Linked DNA regions of Pelodiscus sinensis. The protein of the gene in region 1 interacts with the protein of each later gene in a biochemical or structural test. Links are inferred from orthologs where the notes say so. Each region holds a gene or a part of one and is shown on either strand. Other genes may lie near its edges.

Region 1 (7,547 bases):
ATTCAGCCTTTTTACCAAGGGTGTGTCTAGACTACATGCCTCCTTCGACAGAGGCATGTAGATTAGCCAGATCGGAAGAGGGAAATGAAGCCGCGATTAAAATAATCGCGGCTTCATTTAAATTTAAATGGCTGCCCCGATCTGCCGATCAGCTGTTTGTCGGCAGATCGGGGCAGTCTGGACGCGATGCGCCGACAAAGAAGCCTTTCTTCATCGGCACAGGTAAACCTGGTTTCACGAGGCTTACCTGTGCCGATGAAGAAAGGCTTCTTTGTCGGCGCGTCGCGTCCAGACTGCCCCGATCTGCCGACAAACAGCTGATCGGCAGATCGGGGCAGCCATTTAAATTTAAATGAAGCCGCGATTATTTTAATCGCGGCTTCATTTCCCTCTTCCGATCTGGCTAATCTACATGCCTCCGTCGAAGGAGGCATGTAGTCTAGACACACCCCAAATGTAGCTATCACCTTTCACATTAACCAGGGGATCATTTTACCAATGTTCTACATCAAACCCCACAAGGACCAGCAAGAAATGATCTTGTACATTATGGATGTACGACAAGCAGTAGCATTCTATATAGACACAACTCACAGTGGCTATTTGTCTCCATAGCGGAATACTCAAAGGGACACACAACAATTTTCCAAGTGGACCTCCACATGCATACACATGTGATACTATATTTCAGAGAGTGTATTTCCCATGGGTTTAAGACATCATTCCACCCAAGCCATGGAAACCTCGATTACTTTTCTCTCGTTATCTTGCATGACATCTGCCAGACATCTATATGGCCATCAGAACACACCTTTGCAAAACACTATGCAATCACTTCTGGGCCCATTCCCAACACAGCCATGGGCCTAACAATGTTATCCTCTGTTCTCAACATGTGACTATAAATCACACCTTCCATGTGGAGTACTGTTTGGTAGTCACCTACAGTGGAGTATCCACAGGGACACTACTTGAAGAAGTTACTGATCTTGTACAGTAATGATGATTCTTCAAGATGTGTGACCCTGTGGATGCTACACAACTCACACTCCTCTCCTCTACATCTTCCACTCAGAGATATAGAAGGAACAGAGGAGTGTCAGGTCCCACACATGATATATTAAGGCACGAATGCCATGAAAAAGCAACAGTATGAAAAAGCAACAGTATGGGTTTGTTTCAACCTTGAGGGTATGTCTACACTACCCCCCTACTTCGAACTAGGGGGGTAATGTATGCATACCGAACTTGCTAATGAAGCCTGGGATTTGAATTTCCCGGGCTTCATTAGCATAAAGACGGCGCCGCCATTTTTAAAAGCCGGCTAGTGCGAACCCCGTGCCGCGCGGCTACACGCGGCACGGGCTAGATAGTTCGGAATAGCTTGCTAGTCCGAACTATCTGTACGCTGTGGGCCATATTCCATATTAACTATTACTAAATGTAATTAAAAGTATACAGAATGTTTTACTGCTATTTTTTCACATAAACCAGGGGTGGGCAATATTTTTGGGGAGGGGAGGTCACTCCAAGAATTTGATAAGTGGTTGAGGGCTGCACTCTTCCATTATACTAATGGAGGAGGTGCACGGGTCTGGGATGCAGTTTGGGTGCAGAAGGGAGCTTGGGGTAAGGCATTGGGGTGTGTTATCTGGGAGGGAGTTTGGGTGAAGGTGGGGATTGTGACCTGAGGAAGCAAAATAGGATGCAGGGTCAGGGAGGGTAGAGGTGCAGAGGTTTGGGTTGTGACCTAGGATAGGGAATAGGGGTGCAGGGCAGTGTTCCCTTTAAGCTGCACAGCTTCACAGGTGATTAATCATCCCCTCCCAGTCAGTCAGCACGATGCAAGGAGCCCTGAGCCTCTGTATGGGCAGGGCTGATTAAACACCTGTGAAGCTGTGCTGCTACATAGCTTAGAGGGAACACTGGTAGGGTCCAGATTTGGTATGGTCTGTTGTTAGTATGAAGATCAAAAGGCAACAGTGGCAGACTGCAGCAAGTACAGGTCTGAATGTGATCACATGCAGGCTAAATTAGGTTATGTCTACACTATAAAGTTACTTCGAACTAACAGCCGTTAGTTCGAATTAACTTTCATAGGCGCTACACATGCAAACCGCTAGTTTGAACTTAATTTGAACTAGTGGAGCACTTAATTCAAACTAGCTAAACCTCATTCTAGGAGGACTAATGCCTAGTTCGAATTAAGTAGTTTGAATTAAGGGCTGTGTAGCCACTTAATTCGAAATAGTTGGAGGCTAGCCCTTCCCAGGTTGCCCTGGTGGCCACTCTGGGCCAAACCAGGGAAACTCTTCTGTCCCCCTCCCAGCACCGGAGGCGTTAAAGGGGCACGGTCTGGCTACAGTGCCCGTGCCAGGTGCAAGCCAGCCAGCACCCAGCCAGCAGACCCTGCATCTGGTACGGCATGAGCCAGCCACCTGCTGTCACCCAGCCCTCCGCCTCTTCCCAGGACCAGGCTGACAGTTCCCAGGAGCCTGCCCGGGGTCGCAAGAGGTGGGCACCCACCTGGTCTAGTGAGGAGATCGTGTACCTCATCCAGGTTTGGGTTGAGACCTCCAGCGTCCACCGTCTCCGCACTAGGCACAGGAAAGGGGCTGTCTAGGGCAGGATAGCTGCCAGCCTGGCCACCAAAGGCCACAGGCGAACCCAGGAGCAGGTTTGCATGAAAATCAAGTTGGTCCAGCGAGACCCCCAACCCTGAGCCCTGAGCTTAGAACATAAGACCATAAGAACAGCCATACTGGGTCAGACCTTTTGACGACTGCGGCAAACACCAGGTACCACAGAGGGAATGGACCGAAGACAATGACCATGCCATTTGTCTCATGCCATCCATCTCCAGCCTTCCACAAACAGAGGCTAGGGACACCATTTCTACCCCCTGGCTAATACCACTCCTTGGACCCAACCTCCATGACTTTATCTCACTTCTCTTTAAACTCTGTTCTAGTTCTAGCCTTCACAGCCTCCTGCAGCAAGGAGTTCCACAGGTTTACTATTTGCTTTGTGAAGAAGAACTTTCTGTTATTAGTTTGAAGCCTGCTACCCGTTCATTTCATTTGGTGTCCTCTAGTCCTTCTATTATGGGAACTAATGAAGAACTTTTCTTTATGCACCCTCTCCACACCACTCATGATTTTATAGACCTCTATCATATCCCCCCTCTGTCTCCTCTTTTCTAAGCTGAAAAGTCCCAGTCTCATTAGCTTCTCTTCATATGGGACCTGTTCCAAACCCCTAATCATTTTAGTTGCCCTTTTCTGAACCTTTTCCAAAGAGAGTTTCCATTTTTGACCACACGTGTCCTTTATTTTTTACATCAGGAAAGGGCGCTAGGGAGGGGTAAGTGGAAGGAGGTGAGGGAGGAATGGGGCACGAGCCCCCGATGGGGAGGACCTGGGCTCTGCGGGCTCCTCGGGGTAGAAGCTCTCCTGCAGGGCCTCCTGGATCCTGACAGCTCCCCGATTGACTCCCCCCAGATGGCAGTCTGCAGCAAGTGTAGCCAGGCTGACGGCCGAGTGCTGCGATGTGCCGAGTGTAGGCACTCAGGGCACTCCAAGACAGGACTGCTTTGCTGTCCCTCATCAAGGTAGACCTGCAGGCAGGGACCCTGAAAACTGTCTGTCTGGGGTGGGGGTCTGGTCCCTTTAAGAACAGCCCTCGGGTAGCCTGAGGCAGCCTTAACTTCGGTTCAGGGTCCACTCAATGTGGACATGCTATTTCGAATTAGCAAAATGCTAATTCGAATTAGTTTTTAGGTCTAGATGCACTAATTCGCATTAGCTTAGTTCAAATTAACTAATTTGAATTAAGTTAGTTTGAATTAGTGCTGTAGTGTAGACATATCCTTAGTCAATTCCACCTGCTCTAGATCTCTCCTGTCAACAACTGACATCACATGCTATCCTGTTTGCACTGCTGATGAAATTACTCTGCCTTTTGTTACTGGATGTGCAGTAGTAACACAATCCCTGAGAATTCTCTACTTTCCACAAAATTACTGAACTGGATCTTTTTCACCATCTCTTTTTGTTCATTCTATTTCCCCTCCATATAGCTGTTTCTGCAAGGATCTAATACTATATTTCTTAGAGGTTTAGAATGACCTCAGTGTAATTGCTAGGGGTTGCAATGTGACTGTTGGTACCTGATCCTACTTTCAGTGTGATTTAGTGAAAGTTTTGTCCTTGACTTCTGTGAATCAGACCTTAGTTCCTATTACAATACACAAAATGCATTTAACAAATTAATTATATAAAACACAAAGAAAAGATCATTGTAAAATAAACTTTAGATTAATTTCAGGAACTTTATTTTTATTTGATTTTCTGTGAAGTAGGAGGAATGGTGATGACTCTTAGCTATGAAGTGGGTAGTAAAAAGCAAACAGAACTCTGAAAGGACAGAGCCAACTAATACAAACAAGGCTCTTTTTTTCTGCAAAGATTGCATAATGTATGTGTGTAGAAAGAAAGAGACTATTGTGTGTTGCAAGAAGATTAGGGAAGTGTTGCTGAAGTCAGAGAATAAAATCTTTGCAAGGTCAGCTCCAGGAACAGTTAGTGTGAGACACTCCAGGCCAACAGAAAGAACCACTTATCATTGTAAATGTGTCTGGTTTGCCTCTGAGGCACTGAGATGATATTGCTGGGATATACTGTTTTGCTCCTGGTATGGACATCTACTGCACAAAAAGGTAAGGTTATTAAAAAGATTGATCTGTTTCCTCCTACTACTACATTAGGGGATAGTCTCAGACAAGTGGCCACTAAAATATTTTATAAATATAAATAAAACTTTGATTATAGCTTTTTTCAGTAGTATCTCAGAGGAAAAACTAATTCTCACTGTGTTGCAATACCTAGTATGAAGTATCTTATACTAAGTGTGATGTCAAGTCTGCCTTTAGCTACATTTTGCTTCTTGTGCCCAGGCTTTTCTAATTATTACTGTGTATAGAAACTACAGCCGAGAAGTCCATTTTATATGTCCTCTGACTATGTTAATATATTTTGTAATTGTTGAAAGCTAACTTCTAATAAATATGAATAAAAATCACCTGTAGAATGAATAATTTAAAATGTGTGTGTGTGTATGTGTTGTAAAAAGGTCTTTCAGTGAGGGGATTTTATTGTATTTATACAAGTTATTGTATTGATGGGAATAAGTGTTTTCAAAAGGCTTATTAAAAATACTGAGTGTATTACTTGATATTAGGGAAATAAACTTCTTATCCATAGAAGTTTATGTATAAAAAGTTGTTTATTCTTTAGGTGCTAGTTGCGCACTCCCTGTATTTCTTCAACAGCCCTCTTGACATTTGCTGTAACAACAGATCAGTTTCTTATGCCGTAAGGCCAACAAACTATCTTTTTTAAAATTGTCAAATAGTTTCCTATGTAATGGTAGAGGGTTTATATATTGTCTAATTAGTTTGTATAATAGTTTAATATTTAGTATGCCTTCTAGGGGCAGCTGTACCTGTACTTGCCATGCCCTATCTCAATGATCACTTTTTATTTTTAATTACAAATTACTTACCCAGTCCAAAGCCTTTACTCATCTAAGCAATTTCAGTCACTACGTGTGGGCCCTAACAGCTGGGTAAAGACTGCAGGATTGGGCCTAAATATTTTTCAGATACCCTTTTCTCTTTCAGAATATTTCAGTGGCACAGATAGAAATTTAACTGGAAAGTTAATAGGAAATATTAATTTGTAGCTATTGCTATTTTAATTTAAAATACATAATTATTTATTAAAATGTTTAAATAATTTACACGCTTTTTACTAAGGTCTCAATTGTTTTCAAAGCAGTGTAATATTCAAGTTTGAAAGAACCAAAATGAGTGAAATTTGGCCTCCTTTTTTACACTTATGTAACATTCCTCAAATAAGTGTAATTGCAAGGACATGTAAATGAGGCAGCATTAGATCCAGCATGATTGATATTACTGTATATTCACTGTTGCAAATCAGGGGTAAATCTGTTTTCTACAGTGGAAAGATTCCAGAGCTACAATAATGTAAATGACAGAACAATTTGTCTCAAAGCCTTTTACTAAGATGATTTTAAAACAAAAGTGTCAGCCATCCATATAATTGACACAATTAGCAAAGAACAGATTGTATCTTTTAAAAAAAAGCTAATGGTCTGCACTTCCCAGAATTTATTTTCTGCTTTTTTTACATATATTTTTAAAATCATGTCTCAGAGGGGTAGCTGTGTTAGTCTGTAACTTTAAAAATGAGTGGTCCTATGGCAGCTCAGAGACTAGCGAATATATATATGATCATGAGCTTTCATGGATAAAAAGGGATGAGTTGGAGGGAAGTGAGTCTTGCCCATGAAAAGTTCATGATCCAATATATGCTAATCTCTAAGCCCTGGTCTGCATTTGGGAGTTATTTCAAAATAAGTCCCTTTATTTTGAAATAACAAGTGGAGCATCCACATTACCAAGCCCATTATTTTGAAATAACAAGCTGGTTATTTTGAAATAATAACTCCTGCTATCCACAAGGAAAAATGCTTATTTTGAAATTGCAGTAGTGTGGACACTTCACTGTGGCTATTTCGAAATAACTGCTCCCCAGAGACATTCAATGTAATTACTCCTCAGTGCTTCCTGGGGCTCTAAATTGAGGTAGTGTATCTATATAAAGGGAGCCTGCTTTGGACTAATCTGGAGACTTCCCTTTAATGTGGACATGCTATTTCAAAATAGTTATTTCGGGAGTTATTCTTTTGCAATAAGTTATTTTGAAACTATTTCCTAGTGTAGATGTGCCCTAAGGTTTTACATGACAACTTGTTGTTTTAAAATCATGGTTAATAGAGTTCTTCGTTGATTTATAAATAGGTAAATGTGATGGATAAAATCCTAGACCCAGTGAAGTCAAGGGCAAAACTTCCATTAATTTCAAGGATCCAGGATTTCATTCAATAAGTATAAACTTGGAGTTTAGATTCCTTCCTTCCCTGCAGTTTCTGTCAGTGTAAATTAGAAGTAATTCCATTTACATTAATGGAATTGCACCAGTTTGGGAGTCAAATATTAGACTGTAGAACTTTATTCTGAATCAGTTACATGTCTTTCCTCCTTACCTTATGGAGGTTATTTTGTATGATACTTCTCTTTAAAATGTGGTGCATATCTTAACAGAAAAATATAAGCTGCCTACAAAAGTATGTATATTGTTCTGCTGGCATTGATACAGTCATGAATGCCAAAATGTGCAAAAATAAATTTACCATGAAGTGAAATTCCCTGGATGTAAACCGATTCTTTAGGAATACGCTCAAAAAAAAAATGGAATGTGGCTCTGAATATATTGGTGACATCAGCTAAATCCAAAACAAAAATTTCACTGTAGATGTCTGAAAATGGGTAGAAATTCAGGCTCTGAGATCCGCCCTTCTTGTGGGGCATTAGAGCCCTGGCTCCAGTCTGAGAATGAACATATACTCACTGTACTCTTTGACCCATCACTCGAGTCAGTCATTCTGGGACAACTACAGCTGTC
Region 2 (7,880 bases), on another chromosome or scaffold:
ATGCCAGTCTAGACGCAGCCCCTGTGTCTAAATAAACCATTCAAGACAGATGGCTCTCCAGCCTGCTTTTGAAAACCTCCAGAGAAGACACTTCTGCAACCTCCCTAGGCAGCCTGCTCCATTTTCCTACTGTTCTTATTGTTCACAAGTTTCTCATTTCTTTTCATCTCAATCTACCACGCTGTCGTTTGGACCCATTGCCTCTTGTCCTGCCCTCTATGGCAAGAGAGAACTTTTCTCTATTTGTTGTATGGCAGCCTTTTAAGTATCAAGAGACGGCTGTCATATCTCCCCTTAATCTCCTCTTTTCCAAACTAAGCATACCCTATTCCTCCGGCCTTTGCTCAGATGGCTGCGCTCCAGCCCTTTGATCAGCCTCGTCGCTCGCCTCTGGGATCCTTTCCAGTTTCTTCACATCCTTTCTATACATTAGGGACTGAAACAGGACACAATACTCCAGCAGAGGCCAAGCCACGGCTGACTAGAGCGTCACTTGTACCACCTGTAACTTCCCTATGCCTCTGTTAATACAACCGAAAACTGCACAGGCTTTTTTTGCAACAGCAGCATCCTGCAGCTGACTCACTTTGAGGTTATGATCGGCTCCAACTCCCAGATTCTTTTCTGCTGTGCTGCTGCCAATCCAGTTCTCCCCTCTGGCTGCATTTGGTTTTTCCTCCTTAAGCATAGCACTTTATGTTTATCTTTGTGGAATTTCATGTTGTTGTCTATAGCCCAGCTCGACAATTTACCAAGAGCCCTTTGAATTTTAACTCTGTCCTTTGTGTCATCTGCAAATTTAATCAGTGTGTATCTACACAGCAGCATTATCATATCATATCATATCTATAGTAGCCCAGTGTCTGTGAGTCTGTAATGCTGATGTACACGGCCACGCCCCCTGGCCGTGTGTGTTAGCGCCCCGCCCCCCTTCCCCTCCCTCCGAGGTGGCTCGGCTGAGCGCTGCGCCGCTCAGCTGGGCCTCGGCGGGGGAGCTCGGACCCCAAACGGCCGCTTGCCGCCAGCGGCTGCACTCCCCCATCCAGGTCTGCTTCCTGCCCCCCTTCCTCTGTCCCCCCTCCTCCGATCCAGCCTCATGGCCCCACCCCTGCTTCGCCTCCCGCCGTGGCACTCGGCTGACTTCTGCGCTGCTCAGCCAGACTGCCATGTGGGAGCATGCAGCACGGGGAGTGCGTAGCCCAAATGGCCATTTGGGCTCCGAGGTCCCCTGAGTGAGAGGCAGGAGGGGGAGGAGAAGTGAAAGAGAGAGACAGAGAGAGAGGCAGGAGGGGAAGGAGAGCTGAGGGGGGGAGAGACAGAGGGGAGAGAAGAGAAAGGGAGAGTGAGAGGCAGGAGGGGGAGAAGAGAAAGAGAGAGACGGAGAGAGAGGCAGGAAGTGGAGGAGAGCTGAGGGGGGGGGCAGTAGGAGGAGAGAGAGAGAGAACGAGAAAGAGAGAGACAGAGCAAGAGACTGGAGGCTCAGGAGAGAAGACTGACGTGGAGGAGAGACCTGAAAATCCCGTCTTATGACGGGCTAATTGGCTAGTTTTGGAATAATGGCCATTCTTCCAAAATAGCCATGTGAGCATCTACACAGCAATTCCGTTATTTTGAAATACATTTGAAATAACGGACAGCTTATTCCGACATCTGTAAACCTCATTCCATCAGTAATAACACCTGTCCCGAAACAGCTACTTCAGAATAGCAGTAGTGTGGATGCTCCACTGCTGCTATTTCAAAATAGCTCCATCCCAGGGCCATTCTAAGTAATTACTCCCCAGTGCCTCCTGGGGCTCTAAATCAAGGTAGCACATCCAGATTAGGGGAGCCTCTTTGGACTAATTTTGAGGTTTCTCTGTAGCGTAGACAGGCTATTTTGAAATAAGCTATTTTGGAGTATTTCCTCCAGAATAGCTTATTTTGAAATAAGCGTGCAGTGTAGATTTACCCTAGGCCTACATCCAGGTCATAAATAAAGATGTTAAATAACACTGGATCCAGAACAGATCCCCGGGGAACTCCACCTGAGACCTTCTTCAAATCCAGCATTTTTCCGTTCATACTCTCTATTTGCCCTTGTTTAATCAATTATGTACCTATTTAATGGTAGTTCTACCGAGTCCACATTTCTCCAGCTTACTTATGAGAATGTCATGTGAGACTGTGTCAAAAGACTTGCTAATGTCCAGGTATGTTTTGTTCACCACATTTTCCCAGTCCACCAAACCAGTTACCCTACCAAAGAAAGAAATCAAGTGTGACCACGTCGGGGGGTGCGATCACCCCCTCCCACTCAAGAGGAGAGTTCGGCGAACCCTGTCGATGGATTCTGGTCCGTTGGTTCCGGAGCCTAGTCCAGCTCAGAGTCTTTGAGTGCAATCACCCCGCTCAGCCGAACCCAGGTGTTGCCTGTCCCTCTGTGCGGGGCTTTGTCCGCCCCGCGATCCCAATGGTGGCGGGAGAGGAGGGGGACCCGGGCCCACCCTCTCCACCGGGTCCCAGCCCGGGGCCCTAAGCACAGGGGTCTGCTTGCTCCCTGTGTGGTAGACGTGGGATGCCCTCCCGAAACACATCCACTCACGGGCACCAAAAGGGCCCTGCCCCGGGCTGCTTCCTCCCCCCCACAGATCCCGTTGCCCTTCCCGTGGGGTCCTCGCAGCTTACCGTGACTCGGTCACCCGGCAAAGGAGGAGTCCGCCCTCTGTAGTGGGGTCCAGGCCCATCGGTAGCCCACGGTTGTGAGAGTCTTCGACCCCCCCGTCTCCGGGGGTCTGCGTCGGGGCTCTGGGCTTCCCGGGGGAGACGTTACCCCACGCCCAGCTCCGAGCCCTTCGGGAGCCGGTCCCAGTGACTGCCCTCTTCTGCGGAGCACCTGGAGCCACTGTCAGCAGACAGGATCCTGGGCTAGATGGACCTTTGGTCTGACCCAGTGTGGCCGTTCTTATATTCTTAGCTTGCCAGATATCCAAGTCAGGCTGACTGTTCCCCAGATCCATTATAGTAGTAATGTAGCAATAATATAGCAATATAAGGCATATATATATATATATATTAATAAACATTTAATATTTTACAAATTAAGTCCTTTCAGTTGAAGGTCTATTTTCTTTGTTCTGAAGTTTAGTAAATGTTCTAAGGTAGAAAGACTGTTTTGGATATTGTGGCTATGTTAATGAGATTAGAGGAATTCTGCTAATGTTGAAGGCCAAGCCTTAATTGTTTAATTTACAATGCTTTTGTTTTGCCATGAAGATCTGTAACCTTGGAAAGTTTTTGTTTATGAAAGGGAATGTGAATGTGTCAAGATAAGCTGAAAAGTTATATGGCTTTAGAACCAGATGGCCGAAGAAGGGGAGTAAGTGAGCATGGGCAAGGCCAGAGCACGAGACAACCTGGCTGCAGAGAAGCCATCTATAACCATCGGTGTATACAAGAAGATTGAATAATTGGCAGATTGCTGACCTTAAAGCGGAGCAAGCTCCCTGAAAGGAAGATTGATTATAGGATGAACCTTAGAGAGAGGTTTGGGAATGATTGACATCAACAAGGTAACATTCCGGTCACAAGCTGTCAGAGCGGTATCCATGGATTTCAACAAGAGAAAAAAATTATAAAAGCAAGGTGCTTTGCTATGGAACGTTGGATTCACCTTGCCAACACCAAATCCAGAGGAGCATCGGATCGATCGACTGACAAAGGCCCTGCTTCCCCCTGTGTTCAATCTTGCTGGCCACTAGATGGATACGGACTCTGGACTGGTAACTATGACATCGTCTGGCAAGATTGTGTGTGTGTGTGTGTGTGTGTGTGTGTGTGTGTATATGTTTGTGTGTGAGTGATTGAAAAGCATATGCAATGGTTGTATTCTCAATAAATGTGGCATATTGCCTTTTCCCCCATAAAAGATCTCGTGTGCTTCGTTTAAGCATAACTTTTCCAGAGGCTAAAGCGGGTCATAGGGCCACATGGGTTTGGCCTGGCTGCACCTGGGGATACAGGGGTAAAATCTGAGTGGCTTGGTAACCCCACATGCCAGGTCCTAAAGCCACTGGGTTTTTGGGGGCTTCAAACTGCCTCAGACAAACTGCCCCTTAACCAGGAAAAGGCACTTGGGGGAGGGGGAGGGAGCAAAGTGGGACAGTCCCACAACACCCCAGGATGGGGGAGAGCGCTGACAGCCAGAAGCAGCATCCAGGGCAGGGCTCTGAGGGTACGTCTACGCTGCATCATTAGCAGTGCTCTTTAGTATTTCTCACACTGTCATTTGCATAATCTCTTCTGATCCATTTTGTGGAAGATCCTGTATATCTCCTTTTTTGAGGAATAAGGGTTCTTGAGCAAAAGGGGATTTTTTTTGTGCAAAATGGGCCCATCTACACTGCGTATTTTTCCACAAAAACCTCTTCTGCAAAAAGGATAGGGAGAGACTGTGCAAATGACAACGCGAGAAATGCTAATGAGCACTTCATTCGCATTTCCTCTGCTGACAAAATGATGCAGCGTAGACGTAGCCTCGTTGTTAACAGCCTGATCTCAAAAATGATGAAACATACCCCAGGATGTGCAGGTCCTCAGTAGCCCCTTGTGGAGACCCCCTGCTCTGTCTTTCTCAGGGGGTGGAGGGACATGCCAGCCATTTCCAGGTGCACAATTACCACAATTACCTGTCCCTGTCCCAGTCCTCCCACCTCCCCCCACCCATGCAGCTGTGCCCCAGACCAGCCCTCCTAGCCCCGCACTTCCCTTTACTCGGGGATCATCCCTGAAATGAAAAGTTTGCATGTGGGTGACTCAAAAGTAGGTTGAAAAGCTGGACCACTGGCCATGCACCTGTCAGTGGCTAAAGAGTCCAGTTGCTGACCAGAGCTAATTAGTCCACACCCATGGATGAACGGACAGCCAGATGGATGGTATAGTTTTATATTATCTTACCATTTTTCATACCTTACCTCAACACAGTCCAGCTATGGAGATGTGCATTGTAGAGTGCTCTGATATGTCACAAGTGCACAAGGAAGGCACATTAAATCTAACCAGCAAGGCAGTACAAAAACCAGCCAGTGAGCCAGGTGGCAACCCAAGGAGTAAACTGTGTAACCGTACAGCAGGGGTGGAGAACCTCAGGCCCCAGGGGCCACATTCGGACCCCAGCTTGCCCAGATATGGCTCCCCACAGCTCAGGGGCCTCCCCAGCATTGGGAAGCCTGCACAGGCACTCCAGCCTCCTCACTGCCCCACCTCAGGGCGGGAGCACACAAAATCGACTAGGCTGAGTCCCCCTAGACTCTGGTGTGGAAGGGGAATGTGAGGAGTGTCTTTCTCCTTCCCAGATGGGGACACATCAGTTAGGGTTTTAAACAAAAAACAAACAAAAAAAACTTTTCACTTGTGTGCTGCCCTTGACATTTTTCTATCGGTCAATGGCCTCCGACCCAAAAAAAGTTCCCCATCCCTGCCTTCGAGTCACAGGAAAGGCCGGGCACAGCTTGCAACACAAGTAGTTAGGGTGGCAAGTTGTGTCAGAAATGGTAGATGGACACAGAGTGACCAGGTGCCCTGATTTTAGAGACTTTGTCTTACATACACAGCTATATCCCCACCCCTGGAAAAAAAAAGTCCTGATTTTTCTTGTTTGCTAACTGGTCACCTGAGATAGGGTTGTGATGGGCTGTGCCACTGGGGTGCAACGTGGTACTGGGGTACTGCTGAGCTTTGTGATTCACCACCCAGATGCCCTCTCACACTGTGCTGCACTGACAAGCTGCAGACAGCTCTTGGTCCTGCTTTACACAGGTAGGGACACACCCAGCTATGGTTAGTTGCACAAAAGTTCTTCCCCCAGGTCCAAAGCCTATGACCCCAGAGCGGTACCGTCTTGCCCTGGCCAAAAATCTGACAAGTGAAGATTATTACTCAGTCCGCCCCTCCCTCAATGTGGAGAGGACAATGCACTAGCCCCATTTGCACTTCCAGTAAAACAAACATTTGTCTATAAAAATATAAAACAGAGTTATTAATTATGGAAAGAGAGATTTTAAGTGATTGGTGGTGGGTGTAGGTACCAGAGCAGATTAACTAAGAAATAAACAAAAATACTGTCTAAGCCTAGATAGGATCTGAATCAAGATCTATATCTAGATAGGGTCTGAATAAAAATCTGGATCTAGAATAGTGTCTGAATCAAGATCTAGATAGGGTTTGAATCAAGCAGGGTCTCACCCTGTCAGATAGTACAGTCTACCAGGCTTCCAAGCATAATCAGGCTTCCTTCTTTCCTGCTTGGAACATTCTTCCCCAGTTTTGTCTTTGTTCCTCAGGTGTTTTCAGGTATGATGTAGGGGGAGTATGGTCCCATGGTGATGTCACTCCCCCTTTTTATAGCTCCTTCCATGTGGAGGGAACTTCTTTGTTTCAAGCCAAGTCCCCAAATCAGTTTGTGGAAAAGTACATGCATTAAAATGGAGTAGAGGATCACATGGTCTAGTCACATGCCCTTGCATGCTTTGAGTCATGGCAGCATTCTCCATATGCGGGCCGAAGCATCCGCTAGTGAGGATACATTTTTCCCCTGGCCCATTGTTTACTTGATGGCTCATTACCTTGAATATTCCCTTCACAACACATTAGCTAGGCTGGATGTAAATTGAGTTGTGGGAGTTACCCAGGAGCAAACACATTGGAAATGTAGATGCACAGTTAATATTCATAACTTCAGAAACTAAAATGCTATATGCATACAAACAGGATAATCCTATTTAGGAAATCATAACATTTCCATTGACACCTGACCTGACATATTTTGCATAAGATGTGTCATAATTATGTCGTAATCTTGTCACTATGGCACATATAGGGTACAGCTACACAACAACATTATTTTGAAATAATTAGCATTATTGCAAAATAACTTAGTCTGTGTCTACACAGCAGGCAGTTATTTCGAAATAATGTCAAAATCCTGTCAAGCTGGAGGACTTCTTATTCTGACTCCTGTAACCCTCATTGTACGAGGAGTAAGGGAAGTCAGAGGAAGAGAGCTCTATTTTGAAATAAGTGCTGTGTAGTCACTTCCTATTTTGAAATAAGCTACACAATTGATATAGCTCAATTTGCGTAGTTTATTTCAAGTTAAGCCCTGCTGTGTAGATGCACCCATAGGCTATGTCTAGACTACACTGCATTTTTCGAAAGAGGATGTTCAAATTCCCGTGGAATTTGCATATCTTCTTCTGATCTCACTTTCGAAAGCAGGTCTTTCGAAAGTGAAAGTAGTCTGGATGTGGGTTTTTTCAGACCGCCCGCCCCCCCCCTTTTTGAAAAACTGCTCTTCCTTAAAAAATGAGGTTTACACATTTTTCAAAAAGGGGGGGGGGTTCTGAAAAAATGCATCCAGACTACTTTCGCTTTCAAAAGACCCACTTTTGAAAGTGAGATTGGAAGAAGATATGTAAATTCCCTCGGAATTTGAATGTCCTCTTTCGAAAATGCAGCATAGTCTAGACATACCCAAAGAGTGCAGAATATCACAGGGGTGATCGGCCAGTGAGCAAGACAGATGGAGGTGATGGGTCAGAAGACCCCACCTGCTATACCTGCAAGTCTACTGTGTAACTCATCCATCACCCTGTCCTCTTCCCCCATGTAATGTACCAGCTGTCCCACTCCCCTGTGTAATGGGCTCCCTCATTCCCATCTCCTGGGTAATGTGGCACCTTACCACCCCTCCCCTGTCCTCCTCCCACCCGGTGATACCAAGAACAGATGAAATGGGAAGGACTGGGCAATACTTTACTTGAAAGGAAATCTGATCAGGAAGTCATAGGAGAAGAAGTTCTTCCATTTGATAAGGAAATTCTCTGAAGTCCAGAGATAAGGAT

Evidence for each region. The genes of interacting proteins can lie anywhere in the genome.
Region 2: the proteins of CFH (region 1) and serum amyloid P-component-like form a complex in vitro, tested with the Homo sapiens proteins (12 studies listed by BioGRID and IntAct, with this or other methods). The link is inferred for Pelodiscus sinensis from reciprocal best matches to the Homo sapiens genes CFH and CRP.

The regions. Positions count from the first base shown.
Region 1 is NC_134719.1:47,251,069-47,258,615, reverse strand, and holds the start of CFH (complement factor H), read left to right. Parts: upstream 1-4,542; 5' UTR 4,543-4,659; coding exon 4,660-4,717; intron 4,718-7,547. UniProt on the Homo sapiens protein: Glycoprotein that plays an essential role in maintaining a well-balanced immune response by modulating complement activation.
Region 2 is NC_134734.1:12,777,781-12,785,660, reverse strand, and holds the start of serum amyloid P-component-like, read right to left. Parts: upstream 3,014-7,880; 5' UTR 2,668-3,013; intron 1-2,667. UniProt on the Homo sapiens protein: Displays several functions associated with host defense: it promotes agglutination, bacterial capsular swelling, phagocytosis and complement fixation through its calcium-dependent binding to phosphorylcholine.